Diceros bicornis minor: one gene and its partner. The protein of the gene in region 1 purifies or fractionates together with the protein of each later gene. This does not show direct contact. Links are inferred from orthologs where the notes say so. Each region holds a gene or a part of one and is shown in the gene's direction. Other genes may lie near its edges.

Region 1 (7,756 bases):
TCCTCCCAGGGAAATATCCACCAGCAAGAAGTTCACACGGGCTCCCGAAGACTGTGCACGGCTATCTTAGCAGAACTACTTGCAGCTCCAAACCACAAACAACCCAAATGCCTGTCCACAGAATGGATAAGCTGCAGCATATTCATAACTGGAATACTATACAGCAGTGGGAACGAATGGACCACTGCTACCTGCAGGCATAATGCTGGGAAAAAGTCAGACACAATGGGTACATCCTGCAGGATTCCACTTATGTGCTATTTTGAATAGGCCCAAATCATCACCATGACAGAAGTCAGGGTGCAGGCTGCCCTTCAGAGGGCAGGGTCCCCGCTCCATTTCCATCTCTTGATCCACGTGCCAGTTAAATAGGTGGACCCGTGTCCTAAAAATTCCCTGGTGAAGATTTGTGCATGTTCCTATATGCATGTTATATTTCAACACCAATTTGACTTATAAAACATCTTCAGACCTGGCCTCATGGAGCGCTTCTGGGGGAAGACAGATGGAAAGGGAATAATTAAATATGATTAGAAAGGGTGAGAGTACTGTGAAGGAAATATATACACAGGATGAGACTTAACGGGGAACAGCTGGGGTGGGGGGCACCTTCTTACATGTGAAGGCTGAGGAGGGGCCCGCCGGATGAGGAGCCAGGAAAAGGGGGGTGTCTGAGGGGCAGAGTGTGGGGAGGGAAGGGCAGGAATGGGAGGGAGGGGTGAGGCCCGACCCTGGGGGGGCTCAATGGATGACACAGGAGGTTGGATTCAAGTGCGCTGGGAGCTATTAAAGGGTGTTAATGTGTGAATGAGTGACAGACAGAGACAGAGACAAAGAGACCCAGACGTAGTTTCAGGAAGGTCACCCAGCAGGCAGTTGTGTGAAGGACCTCGGAGGGAACCGGAGGAGCAGGGAGGCCAGGTAGGAGGCTACTGCACCTGTGCAGGTGAGAAGGGGTGGTCTGAATGCGGCGGCAGTGGAGGAAGTGAGACCCGGATGGATTCGAGTTATATTCTGGGGATAGAAATTACATGTGTCCTGCTCTGTCCTTCAGGTTCCTCCCCTATCTCAGACCTGGTCTTAGGAAAGACCACCATTATACTCAGTACTGAGGGTCTGGAGTCACGGTTTCTTATGTCTGTGTCTCACTGAAGAAATGAATAATATTGAGAGGGCAGGAAGGAAAGTCCCTTAGATCCTGAGAAAGTTCATAAGAAAATACATCAGGGCTGCCTTGGGGGGCCTGAAGTCTGCTTGTCACCAGCACAGCTGAAGTGAAGCCACCTGGGGCTCCTCCTGTGCGGTCTCAGCCTGTCCATCCGGCCTCCCCTCCCTCCCCGGCCCTCTGGCCACGCCACACTCCTCTGCACGGGCCCTGCCTCTGCAGCCTCTGCTTCTGCAAGTGCTGCATTCCCACCTTCCACCCGGCCCTCCGACCAAACTCAGGTCCTTCGGGAGTTTTCCCTCATGCCCAGTTACTTGCTCTCCCTCCCTATGCTGGATGCCCCAGACCACTAGGGGTGTTCACTAGACTTGCTGTCTGTACACAGCCCCCTGAACCCGGGGGCCAGAGCAGGTAGGAGCCCCGCAGGGGCTGGGACCCGCACCTCTGTGTCCCGACACTGAGCGGTGCTTAGGTGGTGGGTGCTACATAAATCAGTGACCCGGTGAACGGTCTCAGGAGGACACAGACATTCAAATGGATGGCAAAGCAGACCTCTGGCACCCACTGTTGCTGTCCATTTTCCATGCTGTTTCTTCTGCACCCTTCCCACCCCAGCACTGCTCACAGGGCTGGATGCCCGAGTCTCCCCAGACTGGGTCTCCTCCCAGCTGTGTCCTCTCAGCGGGTTCCAGCCACATTGCCTAGCACTTGCCAAAATGAACGACCAGACGCATCCGTGTGGCAGCAGCCCTGGGTCCCAGGCCTAGGGAGGGGAGGTGCATGCAGGGACACCACCTGCAGGGCTTTTTAAGTTGGGGGCTGGGACCCAGTCATGCACCATGAGGTCAACTTAGTGGATTGTGACTGGCAATTAAAAAAAATTATATTGGAGCACGCTTTCATGTAGTAAGGGCATCGCTATATCAGAGTATAAACATTGCTTACTGTGGGCTGTGATTTAAGGAAAAAACCCTAAAACTTGAAAGCTACTGGGCTGCAGCATCGGCAGCTTCCGTCCTTTCCAGAAACCTCGGTAGTATGCATTTGGGGATTTGTTGCCCTCTCCAGGGAGAGTGGACTTCAGGTTGCCAACCTTTTTCAGAGTAAGAAGAACATCAGCAGGAGCTAAGGTTTGTGTAGTGCTTTGCGATGTTTACACACACAATCTCATTTTATCCACACAAGCCTGTGAAGAGGGGCAAAGAGGTTGAAGTCTGGGGGGCTGTGTGATCTTGGGCACACTGCTCGACCTCTCTGGGTTTCAGTTCCTTCTCATGTGAAACTGGCTGTGTTGAGGATTAACTGAGACTGTGTGTGCAAAAGGGTTCAGATAGAAACCCTCATCTTCAACCCCCTGAACAAACCAAGAAACCAAGTGACAAGTGACCAACCGGCCTGTTAGCTAGAAAGAGAAAGCCAGAACTTTTCAACCCAGGCCATGTGCACAGCAGCTTCCCAGATACGTCCTAACCCCCATAGCAACAGCTAATATGTACTCAGCACTTACCACGTGGCAGGCACTGTTCCAAGTTCTTTATTTTCTCATTTGATCTTCACAACAATCCTAAGCGACAGGTACCGTTATTTTTCCCATTTTGCAGATGAAGAAACTGAGGCTCAAGGGTTAAGTACATGCTTCAGGTCACACGGCTCTAAGTGGTGACATCAGGGGTCTGGCTCTACAGCTCAAATCCTTATCCCCTGCAGAAGCTGGTCCTGGGCTCAGACCTACCCCTCCCTTACCTCTTGGCTCCGTCCTCGATGGTCTCTCCTTCTTGAACTTTGCCCCCGAAGCCATTCCACCGGCCCACCCCAAAGCCTCTTTTCTTCATGCCCAGGAGAATTCGCTGAGACTGTAGCACCAGTACCAAGGTGTAGAGCCTGGAGGCACCCATGGTCCCCTTGGGTTCTATGAGGAAGGCAAGAGGGCTGGGTCAGCTTGACTTGGGCGTGGATGGAAGCATGTGTACTGCAGTGACTAGGGTCCAGCTGGAACAGAACTGTGCATTGGAAGGCAGGGAGGGGAAGCTTGGTGGTAATTTCTAAGCTCTGCCATGTGTGGCTTGCCCGGTGCAGGTGGAAGCCTGCCATTGAACAAATGATCTTCTGCGGTAAAAAGAGGCCTGGCCCTCAGAGCCCAGTGGGATCAGTGCCCAGGCCCTTCATTTGCCAGGGCTGATGCAGCAGGTCAGGCAATGGCCACATCTCCCCTTCCCCACTCCTTGGCACAGAGCTGTTCTTCAGAAGTGGGAGGGTAGTCCAGCCTCTGTGCCCCACTGACACCAAGATAACCATGCAGTTTATCCAACGGTTCTTGGGTCAGGCTTTTAGCTTTGGCCTTTTCATTAATGTGGCCTTCTAGGATCTGGCTTCTTCCTCTCTGCAGTAGCAGACCTCCAGATTGCCAAGAAATGCTCCCGACAGTGGAAAGTCCACCCAGCCAGGCCTGGCTGGTCCTCCGTCCTGTGACAGGAGTTCATACTCTGCTCACAACCGTTGCTGCTCTGGGACCTGGCACTCAGAGAGGGCACTGGATCCACAAGGGCCCCTCCTGCTCAAATGCGTGTGCATGGTCCAGCAAGAGACCCTGAGGGTCACATCTGGGTTGCTGCTGGAGAACCAGGACCAAGGTCTCTGTTGATCCATCCCTATCCCAGCCTGGGGCTCATCGAACACAAGTCTCCTACTCTGGGGACCACACCAGATTAGACACAGGATTCAGGACCAGGATCCTCCTGGGAAGTTACCCTGTTTGAGAAAAGGGACCTATAGCTGGGTCCTGGTGGTGGAGGAAGTGGGTATCTGTGGCGGAGTCTCCCTTTAGGCCTGCATACTCTGTCCTGACGCTGACCTGTTCACACCCCAAGTCCTGGCTTCCTAAGTAAACTGTGGCGGTGATGAGGATGGATACTGCATATGTCAGCTATCACTTATTAAGCACTGACTATATATTTTTTTTCAAAAATTATCCCATTTAATAGACCCAACAACTCTAAAAACTAACACTTACTTTCTTCATTTTCAGAGGAGGAAACTGAAGCTCAGAGAGGCTAAATAGTGGAGCCAGTACCCAAGCCTGGGTCTACTGGATGTGGAAGTCTAGTTGGCCCACATCTCCCGGAGCAGGCGGCTTGGCACTACGGTTAGACGGGTCCTCAGAGAGCCGACCTAATGTCAGGGGCCGGGAGACTGGCAACAGGGCTGGGCAGCCCCACTTGTTAGCCATGTGGCCTCTGAGTCGAGTAGTCTGTAAATTGAGGCCTTTACCAGGGTTGAAAGCGACAATAAACTTAGAGCGCGGGCACTTCCTAAATGTAGGTTCCCTGGCCGTCCCTCCCAGGGGCCCGGCGCCCCCAAGCCCTCACCCCAGTCCTTGATCCATCTCCTGCGGCCTCAGCTAAGCTGCCCCCCAACCCAGACCCGCGCTCCCCTATCCCCGGCTCCCCTGGCCCGCTCGCCCCCTCCCCTATCCCCGGCTCACCCGGCTCACTACCGGTCTCCGCTGGCTGGGGTTCCGCGCGCGCCTTCTGAATATGCGCGCCGCCGCCGGGGGCGTGGCTTCGAGCCGGAAGCGAGGCGGGCACTTCCGGCAGCAGGGGGCCGGAGCAGCTCTGCACCCATGGCCCGGTGAGCGGGAGTCGGGGAGTGGGGTCCGGGGAGCAGGCCAGGTGAGCCGCGAAGGGGCCGTGGCCGGGGAGAGCGGGGCGTCCGTGCGCTCAGGCGGCGTTTCTGGAGCGCCTGCTGCACGCGTGCGGGAGGCGGGAGTGGCCAGGGCCGCCCCACTCTTCTTCGTCCGAAGGGGCGCAGGTCCCACCTCTGTCCTGGCCCCGACACGGTCAGCCCGGCGAGGTGGCTCGAGGAGGACTGCAAACACGAAGCCACAGTCGGCGAAGCCTCCCCAGGAGCGACGGGAGGGCAGAGAGCTGTAGAGGGCTTCAGAAGAGGAGGGGCAGGTGAGGGGCCCTGCGGGTAGAGAAGAGGAAGGAACAGGTGAGGCGGCCCTATGGGTAGAGGAGGGACAGGTGAGGTGGCCCTGCGGGTAGAGAAGAGGAGGGACAGATGAGGGGGCCGTGCAGGGAGAAAAGAGGAGGGGCAGGTGAGGTGGCCCTGTAGGGAGAGAAGAGGAGGGGCAGGTGAGCTGGCCGTGCAGGGAGAGAAGAGGAGGGGTTAGGTGAGGGGGCTCTGCAGGTAGAAGTGAAGCTTGTGAAGAGCACGGAGAGGCCCTTCAACTATTCACACAGGTTGATTTCAATTTTATTAAGAAATGTGACAGGTCAGGCCATGTGCTAGCCACTGAAGCCATGGAACTAAGTCACTAAGGCAAGGACCTGTCCTCATGGGGTTTCTCACAGTCTCAGAGCCTAATGAATATTAGTACCAGCTGAGAAAGAATATTATGTTTGCTAATTTTATCATTACTATTAACCAGTACTGGGAAAATTTTGGTTGATATAAATAAGGTGACTGTTGTTGATTTTTGAGTTTTCCTTTTGAAGAAAACTTCAGGAGAGAAGAAACACTTCTTGACTGAAGGGTGGATGCCTGCTTTGTTAGTTTGCTGGGTCTGCCATAACAGAGCGCCACAGACTGGGTGGCTTAAAGGGCAGAGATGTATTGTCTCACAGTGCTGGAGGCTAGATTTCCAAAATCAAGGTGTCAGTGGGGTTGGTTTCTTCTGAGGCCTGTCTTCTTGCTGGTCTTTCCTGTGTGTGTGTGTTCTAATTTTCCCTTAATAAGGACACCAGTCATATTGGATTAGGGCCCACTCATATGACCTCATATTAACTTAATTACCTCTTTAAAGACCAGTCACACTTTGAGGTACTAGGGGTTGGGACTTCAACATACGAATTTTCAGCCCATAACACCTGCTTTCTGGCTGTGTAGCCTTGTCAAGTCGCATCCCCTTTTGGGCCTATAAAATGCTTGGGTTGAACCAAGGGCCACACTGAGCTCGTGACCTGTGGGTCTATATGATGCCAACCTGCTTGCTCCCTTTTTCTCTCATCAGGTCCTTGAAGCTGCTGTGTGCTTCCCTTCGGCATCAAAGCTTCCACACTGCTGGGAGTCACTACAAGGGTCGGACAGGCGCTGAGCACCTGTGGCTGACGCGGCATTTGAAAGACCCGTTTGTGAAGGCTTCGAAGGTGGAGAGTTACCGGTGTCGAAGTGCCTTCAAGCTTCTGGAGGTGAACGAGAGGCACCGGATCCTGCGGCCCGGCCTCCGGGTGTTGGACTGTGGGGCAGCTCCTGGTGCGTGGAGCCAGGTGGCAGTGCAGCGAGTCAATGCTGCAGGCACAGGTGGGGCCTCCTGCTGCTCTTAGGGCCCCTGACCACCAGGAGTCTGTAGATGCCAGCCAGCTGCCCTCTGCCCAGGGATACAGGGCAGCTGAGCCGCTTGGTGAAGGCACATACTTCTGACTTGGTGGTTTAGTAGTAATAATGGTAAAGATAGGACACTGACATTTTCAAAATGAAAGATAAAGTAGAGAGGTATAAAGAAAATTAAAACCACTTCAGACCACACCACATTAATATGTGCTTTAATATGTTGGTGTGCATCCTTCCGGAATTTGTGTTTGCAAACATAGCTACACATATATAACTTCTTTTTCGAAAGTGATATTACACCACACTCTTGTTGCTGATTTGGAGCCTTAATGGAGCTATTTTTTTCACTTACTGATATATTGCCATCTTTCTGTGACAGTACAACTGAAGCAACCCCAGAGGTTTCTGGATCCTATTGCTGGAAGCCGTGGGTTTCTTGGAGGTCCTGCTGGGGCTGCTCAGGGGAGCCCTCGCAGCCAGGCCTCTGGATTCTCCACTCTGGCTCAACCCAAGGGATTCAGCTTTTATCTGTTTTATATTTTAGGGTTTTGTCAAAGATATTCTATATCAAAAAGGTTCCCCTGACTAATAAACAGATAAACCAACCACCCATAAAATTTAGAAAACTGTGTCATCCTTGTAACTAGCTGCCTAGTATTCTAGAGAATGGCGTGCTGTTGGCAGTTATCCTGGCTCCTCGTCTGGGAAAGGTTGCTTTCCAGTCTTCTGCTACTATGCACAATGTGGGGTGAATATCCTTACCATTAGTATTTCCTGCCGGGAAGTCTGAGGGTGCTGCATCCACTGGCATTGTATGACATGTGACAGTCACAAAGATCTCGCCCAAACATCTTTGAGTGGGGACATTTGTGCCCATTTTCCTAATGAGTAGATTGAGGTTCAGAGGAGTTGAGTGACCTGCTAAAAGTATAGACCTGGGGATGCTGCTCCCCAAGTTCATTCATCAGCCGCATTACTGTGGGTGGGATGCCTTAAGGGGCTCTAGAACAGTTTAAATTTTTTTTAGCTCACTAACTATTTATCGACCAAGTGAATGAAGTTGTGTCAGAAACTTCAGCTCCTTCTCCACTGCTGGGCCCCTCCACAGACTTGCTACCAGCTGGTTTGAGTGGCTGCTGTTCCCCTAACTGCTCTTCAGGAGAAGCGGAAAAGCGGCCAGGTTGAACTTGTAGGAGGAAGTGGCAGAAGCAAGGATTGTGTGGATAACATGACTTGGTTTCTTTTCCTCCCAGAAGTTGC
Region 2 (6,987 bases), on another chromosome or scaffold:
GTTCAAAATTTTTGAAGGACTAAAATCATGGCTTGCTGATGACTGAGGCTTATGTATCAGGCAAAAACAGCTCTTTTATCTTCCTGCCAAGAAGAATGTGGATTCCATTGTAGAGGATTATGCAAATTACCAGAAATCTTGAGGAAACACAGATAGTTAGGTAATAATAATGCTGTTACTGAAGTTGTGTCAGGAATAAAAGAATAATAGAATGTAATGTTGGGCACTCAGCTACTCTACAAATTTGAAAGATCCCAGTACACTGAAATCCTTGAAGATTGCCCTGAGGCACCCTGTCCCAGGTGTATGGAGCTCTGCATCTAGTGAGAATTGGAGCAATGTTGGCCCATATACCTCTAGATGAGAAGAGTCTTATTTTATTTTTGACTGAACAATCTTCACAATTTTCCTGGCAAAGAATTCTGCAACTTTATTTAGTGCCAGTAATTATGAAGTGGCTCATCCTAAGAGGAGGTATAATTTAAAGTAAATTAAATGCACAGATCTTAAGAGACAGTTCATTGAATTTGGCAATTGCGTGCACCCGTGTAACCACCAGCACAATCAAGAAGAGAACATTTTCTTCACCCCCAAAATTTCCTTGTGTTCCTTTCCAGTCAATTCAGCAATCTGCCAACCCCCTGTCCCCAACAGTGGCAGCCTCTATAATGATTTTTATTCATCATACCTTATTTTCACTGTTCTGAACTTCACGTAAATGGTCATACAGTATGTGCTCTTGTATATCTGGCTTCTTTTGTTTAACATAAAATTTTTGAAGTTCATTTACATTATTGCATGTGCAAAGGTTCTTTTTTATTTCTGAGTAGTATGACAGTGTATGAATATACCACAATTAATTTTTTTCATTCTCCTATTGATACACGTTTGGATTATTTCCAGTTTTGGGATATTGTGAATAAAGCTACCATGAACATTCTTGTACAAGTCTTTTTGTGGACAGATGTTTTAATTTCCCTTGGGCAAATGCCTAGGAGTGAAATTATTGGGCATTTAACATTCAGAGAAACTACCAAACAGTTTTTTTAAGTGGATATACCAATTTATATTCCTATTGTTAATATATGAGGGTTCCAATGGCTCCCTATTGTCACCAACATTTAGTATCGTTGATCTTTTTAAGTTTAGCCATTCCAGTGCATGTGCAGAGTTTTTTCATTGTGAATACAATTTGCATTCATCTGATGATGAATGACATTGAGCAGCTTTTCATATATTTATTGGCTATTGGGTATATGTATTTCAGATATTTTTTACCAGTCTATAGCTTGCCTTTTATTTTGTTTTTACTGCTTTTTGATGGACAAAAGCTTGTAATCTTGTTGAAGTTCATTTCATCAATTTTTTTTGTTTTATGATTTTATTTATTTATTTTTTTCCCCCAAAGCCCCAGTAGATAGTTGTATGTCATAGCTGCACATCCTTCTAGTTGCTGTGTGTGGGATGCAGCCTCAGCATGGCCGGAGAAGCGGTGTGTAGGTGCATGCCCAGGATCTGAACCCGGGCCGCCAGCAGCAGAGCGTGCGCACTTAACCGCTAAGCCACGGGGCCGGCCCCTCATCAATTTTTTTAAGGTTAGTGTTCTTTGTGTCCTAAAAAATCTTTGCCTGCCTCAAAGTCACAGAGATAATCTTCTATGATTTCTTTTAGAAGCTTTATAGTTTCACTTTTCTGTTTAATATTAAGATCTATTTTGAATTAATTTTTGTTTATGGTATAAGTTAGGGATCAAGGTTAATTTTTTTCACATTGTGATCCAGTTGTTCAACACTGTTTGTTGAAAAGACTTTCCTTTCTCCATTGAATTGCATTGATACCAATGCTGTGTTTCTAAAATTTAAAATTCAGTTCCTTTTTCTTTTTCGTGAGGAAGATTAGCCCTGAGCTAACATATGTTGCCAATCCTCCTCTTTTTTGTGTGTGTGAGGAGATCAGCCCTGTGCTAACATCTGCCAATCCTCTTTTTTTTTTTTTTTTGCTAAGGAAGACTAGCCCTGGGCTAACATCCGTGCCCATCTTCCTCCACTTTATATGGGACGCTGCCACAGCATGGCTTGCCAAGCAGTGCGTTGGTACGTGCCCAGGATCTGAACCGGCGGACCCTGGGCCGCCACAGCGGAGCACGCAGACTTAACCACTTGCACCACCGGGCCAGCCCCACCAATCCTCCTCTTTTTGCAGAGGAAGATTGACCCTGGGCTAACATCCGTGCCCATCTTCCTCTACTTTATATGTGGGACACCTGCCACAGTGTGGCTTGATAAGCGGTGTGCATAAGTCCAAGCCCAGGATCTGAACCCACAAACCCTGGGCCGCCACAGCGGAGCGCACGCACTTAACCGCTGCACCACCAGGCTGGCCCAAAAAGTCAGTTCCTCAATTGCACTAGCCACATTTCAAGAACTAAAGAGCTACAGGTGACTTCTGGCTACCGTATCAGTCAGTGCAGATATAAAATATTTGCAACATCGCAGGAAGTTCTGTGACAGCACTGCTCTAGACCTTAGGGCACAGTGTCTACTAAATATTTTGAATTCTGTGAAGGGTTAGCTAAACCAAATAACAAAGGGCAGATATAAGAAAGTTAAAAATCAATCACTGAACTTATATGAGGTACTTAGAGTAGTCAAATTCAAAGAAACACAAAGTAGAATGGGGGTTACCAGGAGTTTTGGGGTGGGGAAAGGAGAGTTATTGTGAATGGGTACAAAGTTTCAGTTTTGCAAGATGAAAAGAGTTCTGGAGATGGATGGTGGTGATGGTTGCAAAAAAATGTGAATGTATTTAACGCCCAAGAAATGTACACTTTAAAATCGTTAAAATGGTAAATATTATGTTACATATATTGTACTAATACAAAAAAATTTTTTTAACTGCTTTTTCCCCAGCTGGTGTTTAGTGCAGGTGAGAAAGCAATTGGTATTACTAGTGACTTAATTCTCTCTGGTTTATCTGAGGGATACCCAACAGAGGTACAGGGGAGATATTGGAGCCCAGAGCCCCACTTAGTTTAATGTCTCTGTCTTAGGGTATTTCCAGTAGACCCTCTTCAGCTAACAGGAAAAGAGAGAAAAACAATTTGACTGAGTTATTCTCCTGTTATGAGTTATCCACCTATTCGTGTAACACTAAAGATTTCGTTCATTGGGTTATGGGAACCACTGCAAACTAGTAGCAGGAGCAGTTCGGTTTTTAAATAAAAGTTCTCTGTTTTTTTAGTTAATCTCTAAGCACTTGATTTTGACGATTTAACTAACAGACAATGTTGATCAATATATATAAAAAATACTTTTATAAAGCATAGACTGTACTATATTAATTCAGGGAACATCAGGGCATATATGAATACCAAACTCTGAGGATCTTGTGCTTTTGTACAAGATCCTATTTGTTTAAATATCTTAATTTAAAACTCGCGTTAAAACTCCTTAATAAAAACATTTCAGAATCTTCAACTGATTTGTGGAAAGGAAGTGAAAGAAGCAGTATTAGACGACTAGAAAACATTCATATTAAGAGCTTATGAAAATAATCTTGCTCCTCAGGAGATGTGTTGATTTGGTGAGATGCCAATCCATCTATATTTAGAAGCCTGATTTGCATATTTGAGGACATCTATAAATGTTATTCACTAGGACCTCATCTCTGTCAAAGACAGCCTAATGAATCTATGGATACAGTTTAGTATTGAAAATATTGCAGTACCCTTCAGAACCTTTCAAAAGAAGCAACATTAAAAGCTGGAAGTTTTCTTTGCAGAAATTGCTCATGGTTTCAAATTAGGAGGTGCCTCATTTTTCAAAAACTCTAAAAGAAAAGCTAACAGTGATTGAATATATTCTAGGCACAGTGTAAGCATTTAATTAATTATTGTTCTAATCAACAAATATTTGTTGAAGCATCCTATGTCCTACTCAATTTATCTCATTCCATCCATCACACAATCCTATGAATACTATTATCCCCACTTTACAAAGAGGGGAAAGCTCTCAGAGAGAAGTCACACAATTAACAAATACTAAAACGAGGCTTCTACTCTGGACTTCAAAGACAATGCTCTAAACCATCCAATCCAGGAGAATTAACGCTTTTTGATTCTGTTAGCTAAAGCAGTCCACCCCAAGAAGCCTCGCGATATTACTCAAACTACTACTCCCGACATGCAAAGCGGCTTCTGTTGGTCAGCCTATGCCGGTGAGTCTGGAGGGCCCCAGCATGCCTCGAGGCGCGAAAGGCAACCTGGGAGCCGTAGTTCTCTTGGACGCGTACCGGTATTGCCAGCGCGGCAGTGGCGGCTCTCTCTGTTCCGGCTAGCGGATCTTGTGAGGGCGAGCTGAGGCGGAGAAAGGGCGCGGAACTGGAAAAGGGTGAGTCAGGCACTGTCTACGCGATAAAGAGAGGCAGCAGCGTGGCGTAGGGCTGAGTTGAGGAAGTGCGGCCCCTGCGACAGTCTGTTCAGGGAGACCGCGATCTTAGCGCCGGCGAGAGGAGGGTGAGGAGGAGCCAGAGCCCGGTCCTTGCACCCGTCCTCGCCCTCGGCACCGCGCCGCCATCTCCACCATGCAGTCCCGGGAAGAAGCTCCGCGTTCTCGCCGCCTCGCCAGTCCCCGCGGGGGGAGGCGGCCCAAGAGGATTTCCAAGCCCTCGGTTTCGGCTTTTTTCACGGGCCCGGAGGAGCTGAAGGACACGGCCCATTCTGCAGCCCTGCTGGCACAGCTCAAGTCTTTCTACGACGCGCGGCTGCTATGCGATGTGACCATCGAGGTGGTGACACCTGGCAGCGGGCCTGGCACAGGCCGCCTATTTTCCTGCAACCGTAATGTGCTGGCTGCCGCGTGTCCCTACTTCAAGAGCATGTTCACCGGCGGCATGTACGAGAGCCAGCAGGCGAGCGTGACTATGCACGATGTGGATGCCGAGTCCTTCGAGGTCTTAGTTGACTACTGCTACACGGGTCGCGTGTCTCTAAGCGAGGCCAACGTGCAGCGCCTCTACGCGGCCTCCGACATGCTACAGCTGGAATATGTGCGAGAAGCCTGTGCCTCCTTCCTAGCCCGCCGCCTAGACCTGGCCAACTGCACCGCTATCCTCAAGTTTGCGGACGCCTTCGACCATCACAAACTGCGATCGCAGGCCCAGTCCTTTATAGCTCACAACTTCAAGCAGCTCAGCCGGATGAGTTCAGTTCGGGAGGAGACTCTGGCAGATCTGACCTTGGCCCAGCTGGTGGCTGTCCTGCGCTTGGATAGTCTAGACATCGAAAGTGAGCGGACAGTGTGTCATGTGGCCATGCAGTGGTTGGAGGCGGCTCCCAAGGAGCGTGGGCCTAGCGCAGCAGAAGTCTTCAAGTGTGTCCGCTGGACACAATTCACTGATGAAGATCAGGATTACCTGGAAGGGCTGTTGACCAAGCCCATTGTGAAGAAGCACTGTCCGGACCTTATTGAAGGGGCCCTGCAGATGCGATGCAGTGACATGTTGTACAAGTCTGTGGTGCCTAAGTCAGAGGACAGCAGCAGCTCTGTTGTATCCGCAGCAGAAAATCCACCCCAGAGGCTGGGCATGTGTGCCAAGGAGATGGTGATCTTCTTTGGACATCCCAGAGATCCCTTTCTCTGCTATGACCCGTACTCGGGGGACATTTACACAATGCCATCACCATTGACCAGCTTGGCTCACACTAAGACTGTCACCTCCTCAGCAGTCTGTGTCTCTCCAGACCATGACATCTATCTAGCTGCCCAGCCCAGGAAGGACCTCTGGGTATATAAACCAGCCCAGAATAGTTGGCAGCAACTTGCAGACCGCTTACTCTGCCGTGAGGGCATGGATGTGGCATACCTCAATGGCTACATTTACATTTTGGGTGGGCGAGACCCTGTTACCGGAGTTAAATTGAAGGAAGTGGAATGCTACAGTGTTCAGAGGAACCAGTGGGCGCTGGTGGCTCCTGTACCCCATTCCTTCTATTCCTTTGAACTAATAGTGGTTCAGAACTATCTTTATGCTGTGAACAGTAAACGCATGCTCTGCTATGATCCTAGCCACAATATGTGGCTGAACTGTGCTTCTCTTAAACGAAGTGACTTTCAGGAAGCCTGTGTCTTCAATGATGAGATCTATTGTATCTGTGACATCCCAGTCATGAAGGTCTATAACCCAGCCAGGGGAGAATGGAGGCGGATTAGTAATATTCCCTTGGACTCAGAGACCCATAACTACCAGATTGTCAATCATGGCCAAAAGTTGCTCCTCATCACTTCTACCACCCCACAGTGGAAAAAAAACCGGGTGACTGTGTATGAATATGATACTAGGGAAGACCAGTGGATTAATATAGGTACTATGTTAGGTCTATTGCAATTTGACTCTGGCTTTATTTGCCTCTGTGCTCGGGTTTATCCTTCCTGCCTTGAACCTGGTCAGAGTTTCATCACTGAGGAAGATGATGCACGGAGTGAATCTAGTACTGAATGGGACTTAGACGGATTCAGTGAGCTGGACTCTGAGTCAGGAAGTTCAAGTTCTTTTTCTGATGATGAAGTCTGGGTACAGGTAGCACCTCAGCGAAATGCACAGGATCAGCAGGGTTCTTTGTAAATATTTTGAAACACCGAGATGTTTCTACTGCTATGGAATGTATCTTAAAAAGATATCCTCTCCTTTTTCTGGAAAAAAAAAAAAGTGATTAGGACCACAGATTTGGTTTAGAAAGGGTAATGTTTGAATTACTAATGTAATGTTACAAAATTTAAGCAGTCCACATAAGAATTTACTGTGCTAAAAGTTGAGATTGAAATATGCAAAAAGTGAGCTATATCGTTGATTAGAAAGCTTGGTGGTTTTTTCATTGTTCAGTTATTCATTGCACCAGTGGATTGTTTTGGTTAGTTACAGTAGTTTATATTTTGATTATCTAATTTAGTCTTCTGTTAACTTTTTAATTCTATTAGTGCCACAAAGAAT

What was found. The genes of interacting proteins can lie anywhere in the genome.
Region 2: the proteins of MRM2 (region 1) and KBTBD7 purify together in Homo sapiens (co-immunoprecipitation; 3 studies listed by BioGRID and IntAct, counting the BioPlex papers as one, with this or other methods). This does not show direct contact. The link is inferred for Diceros bicornis minor from reciprocal best matches to the Homo sapiens genes MRM2 and KBTBD7.

The regions. Positions count from the first base shown.
Region 1 is NC_080765.1:12,306,206-12,313,961, forward strand, and holds the start of MRM2 (rRNA methyltransferase 2, mitochondrial), read left to right. Parts: upstream 1-4,749; 5' UTR 4,750-4,784; coding exon 4,785-4,792; exon of another isoform or gene 4,793-4,828; intron 4,829-6,176; coding exon 6,177-6,466; intron 6,467-7,756. Other genes in the region: NUDT1 (oxidized purine nucleoside triphosphate hydrolase), read right to left, coding at 2,909-3,060. UniProt on the Homo sapiens protein: S-adenosyl-L-methionine-dependent 2'-O-ribose methyltransferase that catalyzes the formation of 2'-O-methyluridine at position 1369 (Um1369) in the 16S mitochondrial large subunit ribosomal RNA (mtLSU rRNA), a universally conserved modification in the peptidyl transferase domain of the mtLSU rRNA.
Region 2 is NC_080748.1:35,095,145-35,102,131, forward strand, and holds the start of KBTBD7 (kelch repeat and BTB domain-containing protein 7), read left to right. Parts: upstream 1-3,986; 5' UTR 3,987-4,581; coding exon 4,582-6,621; 3' UTR 6,622-6,987. UniProt on the Homo sapiens protein: As part of the CUL3(KBTBD6/7) E3 ubiquitin ligase complex functions as a substrate adapter for the RAC1 guanine exchange factor (GEF) TIAM1, mediating its 'Lys-48' ubiquitination and proteasomal degradation.